Linked DNA regions of Nothobranchius furzeri. The protein of the gene in region 1 interacts with the protein of each later gene in a pairwise test. Links are inferred from orthologs where the notes say so. Each region holds a gene or a part of one and is shown in the gene's direction. Other genes may lie near its edges.

Region 1 (4,332 bases):
AGCAAAGATGACCCGCATAAATACAAAAAGCTATTTTTTAAAAATGTGTTTAAAGAGAACCAAAACCTATTCTAACCAACCTTGTTTATGTGAAAATGTAATGGACCTTTGGAGTTTTCCCATCATTAGCTCCTTTTGTAGGGTCACAGGTCAGATTTTCTCCTTTAGGATTTTCTAGTAGAGAGCAGAATTCATGGTTTCCACAATTACAGCAAGTCATCTAGGTCTTGAAGAAGCAAAGCAGTCCCAGACCATCATGCTACCTCTACCATGCTTGACTGTTGGTACTGTGATCTAACAGAAATCAGGCCTGGGTGCAGCTAGTGAATATGAACTCAGCTTTCCAAATAAAGTAGTTAATACATTTTTTTTCATGATCAGAACCAAGTTGGTTTGGATAGCTTTAATAAAAAAAAACTATTCATTTGAAGCTGCATTTTGTATTTACTCAAGTTTGTCTGATATTTAAAAATTTAGGTGTGAAAATAAAAGTGAAAGCAGAATAAATCTGAAATGGGGTAGATTTTTTTTGGCCACAGAAATTTACATTGCGTTTCCTGTAAAGATTAGATCAAACTCGCTATCATAAGAAATGCCTAACAAAAAAAGAGCATGTTTACTGATCTTTCATTATTCAAATAATGTCAGTGCATCAGAAACATGAGGTCATATGAAAGTAATCTCACTGATAACACGTTGCAAAGATTGGTCATGTGTTGGTAGTGCAGTTATGCTTGGATTCCATGTGATGATGAGGTTGGTTTATTAGTGGAACAGGTTTAGTGCTGTAAGAAAGCAGTAATGAACCATACGACCATTAAAAAAAAGACCATACAAAACTCATGTATCAATTTTCTGGTTTAGCCTAAATGGAATTACTCAGATAATAATAATAATAATAATAATAATAATAATAATAATAATAATAATAATAATAATAATAATAATAATGAGCTAAAAAGTATCAAATGCAGTGGGGGAAATTCACATGGACAAAATAATGGACTGTGAGGGGAATTCATATACTGAATCATCTGATGTGATTGGTAGGGACGGGATGTTTGGTAACTGGGAAACTGTACTTGTTAGCATCTATTTGTGTTGCCATATACTTTCAGGTGAAAGCCACCACCCAAATACTGGGTTCACAAAAAATGTAACTTAGATTAGCATTTTTTGTGACTCACGTGAATAATATTCGAAATGTGTAGAGTGGGGATTGTTCTATCAGGTGAACTCGTTTGGTTTGTGCTGAATGTTCTCGAATTTACGACGGCAGTGAATGCAGCAGTGATATCAATTTTCTGGTTGCCTAACTAGCCGACGCTAGCTAGCTGAAGACAGCAAGAAAGGGGAATCGTTTTGTGTTTTTGTACAAACAGCCAGTGAATTTGTGCCAACAGCCTGACAAGCCTCCACTTTTTTTTACCAACGGATCTCGGCAGTGAGTCTTTGAAAGCCAGGCTCCGTTTTGACGACGCTCAGAAAAGTCCGCGGGGAAGTTCCCTAGGAAATCCCCCAAGAGCGTCCGGGGATATTCTCGACACTGATGCGCCAGATCTCCTCCAGAATTCACCTTCTCGGTGTGTTTCTGAAAGACTCAGAGTAAGAGGCAGAGGCGTCAAATGCTGGATTATTAAAAGACTGAAACCGTTTTTCGCGAAATCTACAAATTTTAAGCATTGCGATTGCGATGGATAGCTCGAGTAGTTTGAAGGCGGAGAACGAGGCGCAGCCGAAGGACAAAATGCGGAGCTACAGCGTGTTAAACACTTTGTTTCACGAGACGAGGCAGGAAATCGAGCTTCTCAACAAACAGATCTGCGTAAAGGACAATATAATCGCAGATTTAAAGTCCAGGGTCGGGAGGCATGAGAGGATCTGCATGACGATGGGAGACGACGAGCGGGTGTTCCTCGGTCCCTCCAAGTCTTTGGTGGAGAGTTTACTGAAGGAGCTGTGCAAAATAAAACAGAAGAAAGATGATCTGGAGCTCAAGGCATCCTGTCAAGCAGAGGTAAAAAACCAGCAGCTCCAAAGGAAGCTTCAAATATGTAAAAAGCATGATTTATTTCTGTCATTTTCAGGAAAAAAGTTGGTTTCTCATACTTTCTTCTTTGTGTCCCCCAAACTAGGAGATCCAGAGGTTGAACCTGCAGCTCAGAGAGAAAGATCTGGAGCTGGAGAGCATCAGGTGTCAGCCGGACCACGACAAGGACCAGGAGATCCACAGGCTGAGGACAGCCCTGGAGGAGAAGCAGCGGGCCGAAGCCACCAGGACCGTGCTCTGCACGTCGCTGGCCGAAGAAGCTGACCAGCTGCGGGGTCAGCTCAGCGCCACAGTGAGGGTGTGCCAGGAGCTGCTGGGCAGGCTGGAGAAGAAGGGAGGAGACGGAGAAGAAGTGGAGGAAGTGTCCCAGCAGCAAAAAGTACAATTTCATCTTATTTTATAATATTTTTGCTCAATATATATATATATAAACAATATAAAAAATCAATGCCTTCTTTGCTCTTTTTGAGTTATTTATTAACCCCTTTTTGACTTTTTATTCCAGACGCCCAGCTCTTCTGACCTAAGTGCTGCCAAATCCCAAATTCATCAGCTTCAAGAGGAGAACCAACAGCTGAAGCAGCGCGTAGCTTATGTGCGTTTGTATTTTTGATTTCAACAGATTTCCCCCTATATTTCAGTGCAAAATTTTACTTCCAACCAAATCTGTTATCAGCTGCACACACAATTTCTAATGCTGAGCTTTGCTTCTTATTTATTTCCATTGTTTAGGTACAGAGTTTGAATTCTCAGTGGCAGAAGTATGACTCAAGCAGGGAGGACTACATCCGAGGGTTGTGTCAGAGGCTGAAGGAGAACACCGGGCAGGGCTCCGTCAGCTCAGTGTTGCTTCATCAGGAGATCGCCAGGCTCAACACTTTACTGGAGGAGAAAATAAGAGACTGTTCAAGGTTGGAGAGAGAGGTGGAGGAGATAAGGAGGCAAGGCCAAGAGCGAATCCAGACCTTGGAGCAGCAGGTTGGTATTAATGTAATATTAGCACATTTAAAGTGATCGTAATCGTTTTGTGAATTTTCAAAGTTGTTTTGTTTTCCCCGTAAGGTTTTGATTTATACAGACGACTTTAAATCAGAGCGAGCCGACAGAGCGCGTGCACAGGGTCAGATCGCAGACCTGAAGGAGCAGATTTCTCAGCTGAAGCAGCAGATCCACAAACAGGTGAGGTGTCAGATCGTCATTTAGATGCTTCTGTACAAGCATCCACTCATTTTTTTACTTATTACAGCCACGTGGCTTGACAAGGTGTTTGTAAATCTCTGCAGGGAGCAGGCAGAGACCTGGGTTCTGTGTGCCGTGTTCACATAGGACACAGGATCTCCTCGAGGCGAAGTAAGGACTCCTCAGAGCCTCTGCTAAGGGCTGCTGCTGAAAGGCCGCCGCCGCCTGCAGTGGACGCTGCTGCTGCAAACGTAACAAATTGGAACGAACTCCCAGGTCTGTCGGAACTACAGTGTCCGCACTGCTCCGCCAGGTTCAACGACACAGAAGCTGCAGAGTGCATGAACCATTTTGAAGAGTGCGCCCGGCTATAAACGAAAACCAGTTTTTGATTCTCTACTGAACACTGTAAAGCAGCACTACAATGCAGGAAGCAACCTGGGTGGAGGTTCAGATTAAATAACTGACATCTTGAGATGTGAACATAACCCCAAACTTTCCATTTTGCAAGAGAAAATGAGTTCATGGTTTTAGATCTGTACAAACACCCAGACAGAGTTGTCCCATGGCACTGCAGGAGATTACTGTGTTGGGGAGAGAAGATGCCAATGCAGTTTTTAAAATGTTATATACCTCAATGTCAAATTACAATCTTTTTGCACTTTTTTGTTATTTAGCCCAAAAAAAAACCATTGTGTTATCATAATGCGATTAAAATATTATTGATGCATAAGCTTCTTACTTTGGGTTTATACCTAATTGTTTATGTGGTGCTATTGTTAGTGTTTCTTTAAGTAAATATATTCTTTTAATGACAGATTTAAAAAGTCTAACTATATTAATATTTATTTGTATTTCTCATTGGAAAAGAGTGATTGTTTCAGTGCAATGTCTTGTTTTTATATCCAACTTAAGCCATAAATGTTGTGTAAACATGTATTTTTAAATACATGACAGGCAGAAATAAATATTTCAATCATTTTTAAAGCAGTATATGTAAATAATGCATCCAAACTGACATAAAATCATTTTTAAAGACTTAGTTTTTTTCCTGTAGATGTTATTTTTGTAATAAAACATGTTGTTTCCTATAAATATGATCT
Region 2 (3,648 bases), on another chromosome or scaffold:
CGGGGTCACCGGGTTCAGCTGCTTCTCTCACACCGGAATGAGAAGATCTTTGAACGGCGATGCTCACACTAAAGAAATAACGTAATTTTAACACGTAATCATACATTGGAGCAATAAAATTGTAAATAATTATTTCACTGTAGTGAACGCTACCGCGGATCCTCCGTGGTGAAAGATCCATCCATCCATTAGGATTACCAATAAGTAGCATCGACACGTCACACACACTCATCCGTGTCCCTGTCCTCCTCATTAAATATATGAACGTTAATCTTAGCTGGTAAAAACACTTTTGCTGCAAATCCGAAGAGACTTTGAGGGCTTCTAGTCTGTTTGATTGATTGTGGCAGTTCATCCCCGTCATCAGTCTCCATCAAAGTTATTTGGACAAAAAAAAAATGGTTTTGTTGATTTTACATCCTTGTCTGTTAGTGCAGCCAACCTCGCAGCAAGCTGTTACCATTTTACTGTGAAATCGACTAAAGTAAAGCAAAAGACTTTAAAGTGAGTTGCTGTGTTTCACCCTGATCAGCCTTCCTCGGTTCGTTTTGAGTTAGTTGATCATAAATGTGAGATGGGAGGTTGATGCCTTGCTCAAAGACTGGTGTCTGTTCAGACAAGGAAGAGGTACAGAGGAAAAGGCAGAAGACATTGCCAAACTTCCAGGACTTCAGTGGTCACGGAGGAGGAGGTGGTGGAGGAGGAGGAGGGCTGTACCGAGGAGGAGGAGGTCCTGCAACAGGAGGAGGTGAAGTCCAAAACTTTTTAGGGCGCCATTTTGTTTTCATCAGAGAAACGTTTGTGATCTGATTGTCTTTGTTTTTTTTTTCAGGATATTTTCAGGGCTTTGCCTCTTATAGCTATGGGGGAGGGGGAGGAGGAGGAGGAGGTTTCTCCACTGGATACTCAGCTGGTCTGGGAGGAGGAGGAGGCACCAAGCATGGTAAGGAATCAAACCAAAACTCAAAACCTCCTTTCACCAAACAATCCACTTGGAGAGGATAAAGGATGAGGACTGACTGATGTTTTTATTTCTGCAACAATGTGCAGATCTTTACAGCGTTCCCACAAACAGGGACACCTGGAATTTCATACGTTCCTAAAGGAATAAATAAATGTGTTTTTGTGTTGAAGCTTCTGACAGCGACACTGCAGCCGACGACAATGATTCAGACGATGACTCGTCAGGGGACAGACCGAGAGCTCCAGCCATGCCTGGAGGGCTGGAGGAGGGGGAGAGTGAGGAGGAGAGAGTCAGAATGGAGCACGAAGCAGACAGAGGTTTGTTTCTTTCCCATCAGCTGTGATTTTTGCAGTTTATGATGTTTTATTTGATCTGTACTCTGTGTTGTAGAGGATCAGCTGGTTGACGTGACCTGCAGGCAGCTGGATGCGCTCTTTCACTACTCTGTCACAGGTGATTCAGCTTACCTGCTGGCTCCGCAGCGCCCCCTGATGGCAGCACAGGACGAGGACGGAGACACGTCAGTCCGATTCAGACTCACTCACTGACCTGTAACTGTTGCTCTGTAAAATTAAAGCCTCTCTCTCGTGTTAGTGGGCTGCACCTGGCTGTTCTACACAGCCAGCAGGATGCGCTGATGAGTCTGACGCAGGTGGTGTCTGCTCTGCCTGGAGAGGAGGTGCTCAATATGAGGAATCACCTGTACCAGGTACTGAGTCTTTAACAGCTGATGGATAGAGCTGGATATTCAGTTCACAGTTAAACTAAAATTCTCTGATTTCAACTAAGTGGCAGAAATCTAAACTATAGAAAAGTAACCAAGCTCAAGCAGCCTTTTAACATTCACTACAATTTCCAGACTCCTTTGCACCTGGCGGTGATTACTCAGCAGAAGGAGGCAGTGGAGGCCCTGCTACTGGCTGGTGCTGACCCGACTCTTACAGATCGCCATGGCAACACAGTGCTGCACCTGGCAGCTCAGCAGGAAGGAGGCGGCATGGTGGGGTTCTTACTGAGACGCAGAGAGTTAAGAGAGCTGCTGCAGTGCTGCAACTCTGCAGGTACACACACTAGTGTTGTCAAAAAAATCGATACCTAGATATAAATCAATACTAAATGTGGTATCTAAATTAGATATTCCATCCCTGTGTTATTGATATTATGGACTATTATACACAGCCTTCTTCAAGTACACCGACACGCACGACAGCCAGATGCCGTAAAGCAGCCTCTGCCTCCCAGACAAACAGAAGAAGAAGATGCCGCATGGCTACATTGCAATTTCCCACGCAAGTTGTCTCCGATCCAAGTTTTGTCTGCCAAATAAATAAACTAAAACATAAACAGCGAATTTGGGAGGCGCTTCACAGCCCAACTTAATTAGCATACCAAGTCCGACACGTAGTTGTATATTTGCGCATATATGCTTAAAGGAAAAGTCCCGTTTATTGCAACCCTGACTTAATTTCTAGCATGCAGTACGTTTGTTTACTCAAGTTGACAACTTTGGTGCTACTTGGATTCCCCGGGGTGTTTAGATCCATCGGCGAATCGCCATCAGTGTATATCCATATAACGGGTGCGGACGGGCACCCATGGTGCAGCCTCGAAATAAGACATTGTCTGCACCAAAACATCTCAATGTCGAAAGGTTTTTTTTAGGAATCATTAACGTGATTCCCCTGTTCGTTTGGAGCGAGTCTGGGATTTCTAGGCGTGAACAGACTAGCCGCGGCTAATCTAACCGGCGCTTTTAATGACGTCACTGCCGTGCGCCAATCTGTTTTTATTAAGATTACCGGTAGATGTACCTTTGTCCTACTGTGGAGAAATTCGTTTTCTCCCTTTATTGACCAACAGAATTGTTCAAAAGTACAGAACAAAACATATGGCATTACATCTTATGACAAAAATGCACCTTAAACAGAGTTTAAGCAGCAAAACATCACTCTGCAAATAGTGTATATATAGTGAGGCAATACATGATTTTAAGTGTTAACTTTCGCCAGTTTTTGTATGCACGTTTTAAAAAAATGCTGATACTTGAAAGGTTTAAGCACTTAATACACTTAATTCTTAACATTTAATTTTTGCAATATAAATTGAGGAATGTTATTTTTTTAATAAACTTGTTCAATAAATCGAAATCGAGTATCGAGTTTCTTTTCCAGTATCGAATCGAGTTTGAAATTTTAGTATCGTGACAACCCTAACACACACACACACACACACACACACACACACACACACACACACACACACACACACACACACACACACACACACACACACACACACACACAGAAGGAAAAACAAGGTCTCATGTGCTGTGTCTCTATGGTTACAGGTATGTGTGCCATACACCTGGCAGTTCTGGCCAATCAGCTTTCCTCTCTCAGAGAGCTGCTGGAGGGTGGTGCTGATGTGGAGGCTCAGGAGCGTAGTTGTGGACGGACTGCCCTCCACCTTGCCACAGAGATGGATAACGTGTCGCTGGCCGGCTGCCTGCTGCTGGAGGTACATACCGACCAATCAGATGAAAGCTCTTGTTTAGGGGTTTCCGTCATATTGTTTCTTTTTTGGTGGTAAATATTTCCTCTATGAAATCAAATGTCATAGTATTATTTTAACAAAATAAGAGCAGCAAGTATGCATTTGTGTTTCCAGGGAAACGCCATAGTGGA
Region 3 (4,318 bases), on another chromosome or scaffold:
CGTTATCATGCAGCCACACATTTTTAATTATAGGAATTTTTTGTGTGTGGACAGAGTTTAAGTGTCCTTTGATACTATATTTGAATCTGCTGTGTTATCTTCCTGCAGAACAATCCCCGGAGGCCGTATTACTGATACAGAGGACCACTTCTAAAGCTCGTTTCTGCATCTGCCTCTTGTCTGCTCGCGCATTAATTGAACGTTTTAGCTGTGGAGATGTTTGAGTCCTACGTGTCAGAGAAGTTATTGAAATCCAAAAATTAACAACAGATTAGCTACATTTTATGTTTACCACAAAACAAAAATAACACAGCTCACGCTTTTGTTGCATTTCAGCTTTATAATGTAACGTGTTACAGTTTATAAAAACTTGTATTTAGTTTCTGTGATGATTTTACTCTCATCATTTTGCATCCTCAGAAATCTTTGCCCTCCTGACTATATAACAGTTTTGCATAAGAACACACTCTTCTGTGTAATTTGTGCATCTAGTGATGTTTTCACTGTGCTGTAATTATTGCTTCCTCTCATTGTATGCTGCAGTGATGACAATAAAAAAGATATCTTACTGAAATCTGAAATTGTTACCCAAGTCCTAACAAATGCTGACTTTAGAAAAATTTAACCTAAATCTGTTTTTGTCTTTTTCTCGTTGGTATTTTTTCATTTCTTCATTGCCGTAAAGCAGAGACGATTGGACTGGAGCGACCTGTGAGGAGGATAACAGACCAGTGAAATCAGACCTTCAGTTTGCCATTCCTTAGAGAGGTTTACATGGGATAAATATAACCCTGGAGACCCCAGCTAAGCAAGAGACACCTTTTGGCCACACCAGGAACATCTGAGGTTGATAAAGTTAAAAACATCAGTTGTAGGGGTGGCGCAAACTCACTGGGTTTTAAAGTGTTACAAAATGCAGGTTTCAATAGATACGTTTTGTTTCATTTATTTTGCCTAAATAGTTCCTAAAAATTGTCGATGAGATTTTTTGGGAGTTTGAAATCTTTAAAAATACTTTAATTTTACCATTTTATAGGTTTTGAACGTGCTTGAGTTTTTAATAAGTGCTTTCAAGTAGGAGTGCACTCAATAAATGACTGGTGATGCCAATCGCCCAACATTCAGCTGATTTGAGTCCCAAAGAGTAGATCCCCCCCTTTTAAACAGCAATAAAGTGCAAACAGATTTTCCATGCCAAATTTTTTACTTCTGGTCTTGAAATAAAATAAATTCTGGTAATTATAGTTCTTTAAGATAATGCAGATTATGCCAAAATTGATATTAGCAGGTCAGACCTGTGCAGAAATCAGCATCAGCCCTCGAAACACGAATCGGTGCATTTCTATTTGACTCTAGTTTTAGCACAATAACATTTACTTTTGCAAATAAAACAACGATTAACAAAAGGTGCTTTAATTTTAAAGGTGAAATGAACGAATTGTGGGGGAGTTTTGCAGAATTTATAAAAAATAAAATATAAAGCTGCGCCATATTATACTAAGACTGTCCTATTAGTTTTTAACTATCATTTTTCACTTATGCTTTAGTGAGTTATGAAGAAGGTCACAGATTTGAAAAAATGTTATGAATTTTTCAAAACAAAGCCCTGATCGTTTTATATTAATACCATAAATTCACATAGTTGAAACTGCAAAGGAACAAAAATGAAAGTTAGATAATTTAGTAATTTTTTACAATATACGAAAATAATGTAAATTTAAAAAAATCTGCGGAAACAACAAAATATGCAAAAGATGTTATTTTCCTGTAATTTTCTTTTTGATTATTTTTATTTTCGTCTAACTTACATTGCACTCATTTTTTAAATAAAAATAATGTATTCTTTACTGTGCGTTTTTAGGGAATTAATGACGTAAAAATAAAGCAGACAGGTCAGTTTTGTTGTTGCTCCAGAAGGGGAGGGGTGGGGAGGAGGACTTTGATTTGACGCAGTAACGTGTTGGGGCTGCTAGGGGGGGAGGTAAACAAGATGGCGACAACCTGAGAGGCAAGAGTAGCACGAATAGTGAGGAAATTTTTACTGATATTGTGTTATACTGAAGCGGAACGTTTGATTAATCGAGGACGAACACGTTAAAAGTATTTAAGCCTCACAAAGAAATAACCTTCATAAAGATTAAGGTAAGAGCCGGTTACTGTAGCTGCTTAGCTTGCTAGCTAGCAAATTGCATTGGAATCTGAGCGTCTCCGTTAGCCCGTGTTAGCTGGATCCTTCTGGTGAAATTTAAAGCTCGTTACGTTTTAGAACTGAGTTTGGTTTTATTATCAGACAAACACACTGCGATATAGTTGGATAATATCGCGCGTCTTCTTGTGAAGTTGGTTAATTGTAACGTCTGATGAAGCTTCTGCACATCATTCATCGTTAGCTACAGTTGTGTGACGACGTTTCGCTAGTCTCCCCGCACCCCCTCAGTTGGTCACCGGCCAAACAAGTTACTTTGGTTTTAAACTTTTCATGATTGTTCTAAAGGGGCACGCCGAATAAGTTGAAGTTAATACTGGAAAGCTAATTCATTCAGTCAAATTTTCTGCTAACCGCTAGCTCTAAGGTGTTCACACATTTTTGTTGTTTTTAGTTGTTTCCCCACGTTACTGTTAAACTACGGCTTATTAAGAAATACCCGAGGTTTTTTGTCCACATTTGAGCCCTTATACAAGAGGATTCTAGCTGTAATTCCTCAACCCTTTCTCAAGATGTGAATACCACCTATTTGAAAGCTCAGTTTTTGCATTTTAAGCCCAAACTCTTAAGCAAGTCCCTCAAATATGTTGTGATCAGCCAATTAAGTAGAAAACTTAACAAAACTGTGTCACAGTACTTTCTGACAAAGTTGTTTTTTTTGTTTGTATTAATGAAAAGGATCATGTTCCTGTGTCTGATCACAAGATGTTTACCCAGGTGTTTAAATATGTGTAAATAGATTTTTACTCAAATGTAATTTTGCAAAACAATCAGTGATTGTTCTGATAATTAAATATTTTTTTTTGCCCTTTTTCCTCAGACATCAGGCTGTAGAAACTGTAGTGACATGGAGGACACCTGAGGGCAGTTCAGCGTGGTGGACAGTTCAGTCGATCCCCTGGAGCCTGACTGACACCAGGGATTGGATTGATACTGCTGCATGCTTTGGTTGTCAATTTATGCCTGGATCCAATCCAACTATAAACACTTATGTGTCGGGTGGAAACTATGACATCCAGCAAGGACCTTTGACAGAAATGCTGTGCTGCAAGGCCTTGAAACAAGACTGGTTTCCTTTACCTAAAGTTGTATGGTATTAAACTATAAAACGATAGCCTAGACCGTCGGAAAAGAAAATAATAGTGTAGAATCCTTTTTTTTCCCATTTGAAGTTCTGTTTAGCTGCACTCATCAAAGACGTAGCTCATAATGCACAGTCTAAAGCACTAAATTAGCACTTGAGCCAATAGGTTCTGCACCTCTTTTAGTTTCTGTCTAAAATGAGCCCTAATTTTTACAGGTTTTAGATTTCTCTCTTACCTTTCGTCAGTTCTCAGGCTTTATTTCTCTCCTTCGCATTTTCCGCATTTTAAAACTTCTCTAATGGAAACCCTCGGTTCAGTGCTGAAAGGCTAACAGCAGATTACACCCCAGCAGCAATCATAGCCAGTTTTCAAACGTTTATTTTTTGCACGTAAGGCTTAGGCTGTGGTTGTAGAACCACCAGTCATGAGTGCCAGGGAGCTGCAGCATCTTGATTATCTAAATGAAAACGAACTTATGGAGATGGACACTTTCATTCACCGCATTGACTCTACAGAGGTGATCTATCAGCCACGGAGGAAGAGGGCAAAGCTGATTGGAAAGTATCTGATGGGAGATCTGCTAGGGGAAGGATCTTATGGCAAAGTGAAAGAAATGCTGGACTCGGAAACACTTTGTCGCAGGGCTGTGAAGATACTGAAGAAGAAAAAGCTTAGGAGGATTCCCAACGGAGAAGCCAATGTGAAAAAGTAAGTTGTTTTTATTTTTTTGTAAGCCTGTTATAGATTGTCATTCTTGGAAAAAAAAAAACTTGCAGCGCCGTAGCATCAGACCTACTACAAAGCTGGGTTATTAATTATTTTGAGTTAACACAGTTAAAAAATTAGGCTAACTTCTCTTCATATTGGTTTTTAAAACAGCACAACAATACAAACAACACTTCATGCTCAAATCATCACTTGAAAACATGATAATTTATTAATAGCTGCCTGGCAGACAACTAGCTTTATCACTGTTTTCCTGCTTGCTAGAATTGTTGTTTTAATCCCACAGCGCAAAAACATTTAT

Evidence for each region.
Region 2: the proteins of tnip2 (region 1) and nfkb1 interact in binary tests that used the Homo sapiens proteins (3 or more experiments, as listed by UniProt). The link is inferred for Nothobranchius furzeri from reciprocal best matches to the Homo sapiens genes TNIP2 and NFKB1.
Region 3: the proteins of tnip2 (region 1) and stk11 interact in binary tests that used the Homo sapiens proteins (3 or more experiments, as listed by UniProt). The link is inferred for Nothobranchius furzeri from reciprocal best matches to the Homo sapiens genes TNIP2 and STK11.

Annotation. Positions count from the first base shown.
Region 1 is NC_091744.1:17,108,073-17,112,404, reverse strand, and holds the start of tnip2 (TNFAIP3-interacting protein 2), read left to right. Parts: upstream 1-1,490; 5' UTR 1,491-1,693; coding exon 1,694-2,017; intron 2,018-2,135; coding exon 2,136-2,429; intron 2,430-2,555; coding exon 2,556-2,645; intron 2,646-2,782; coding exon 2,783-3,028; intron 3,029-3,112; coding exon 3,113-3,229; intron 3,230-3,333; coding exon 3,334-3,603; 3' UTR 3,604-4,332. UniProt on the Homo sapiens protein: Inhibits NF-kappa-B activation by blocking the interaction of RIPK1 with its downstream effector NEMO/IKBKG.
Region 2 is NC_091741.1:65,301,396-65,305,043, reverse strand, and holds part of nfkb1 (nuclear factor NF-kappa-B p105 subunit), read left to right. Parts: intron 1-616; coding exon 617-748; intron 749-832; coding exon 833-943; intron 944-1,134; coding exon 1,135-1,281; intron 1,282-1,354; coding exon 1,355-1,484; intron 1,485-1,558; coding exon 1,559-1,673; intron 1,674-1,823; coding exon 1,824-2,025; intron 2,026-3,311; coding exon 3,312-3,481; intron 3,482-3,631; coding exon 3,632-3,648.
Region 3 is NC_091751.1:56,737,815-56,742,132, reverse strand, and holds the start of stk11 (serine/threonine-protein kinase STK11), read left to right. Parts: upstream 1-1,384; 5' UTR 1,385-2,142; intron 2,143-3,026; 5' UTR 3,027-3,715; coding exon 3,716-3,999; intron 4,000-4,318. Other genes in the region: sugp1 (SURP and G-patch domain-containing protein 1), read left to right, coding at 109-135. UniProt on the Homo sapiens protein: Tumor suppressor serine/threonine-protein kinase that controls the activity of AMP-activated protein kinase (AMPK) family members, thereby playing a role in various processes such as cell metabolism, cell polarity, apoptosis and DNA damage response.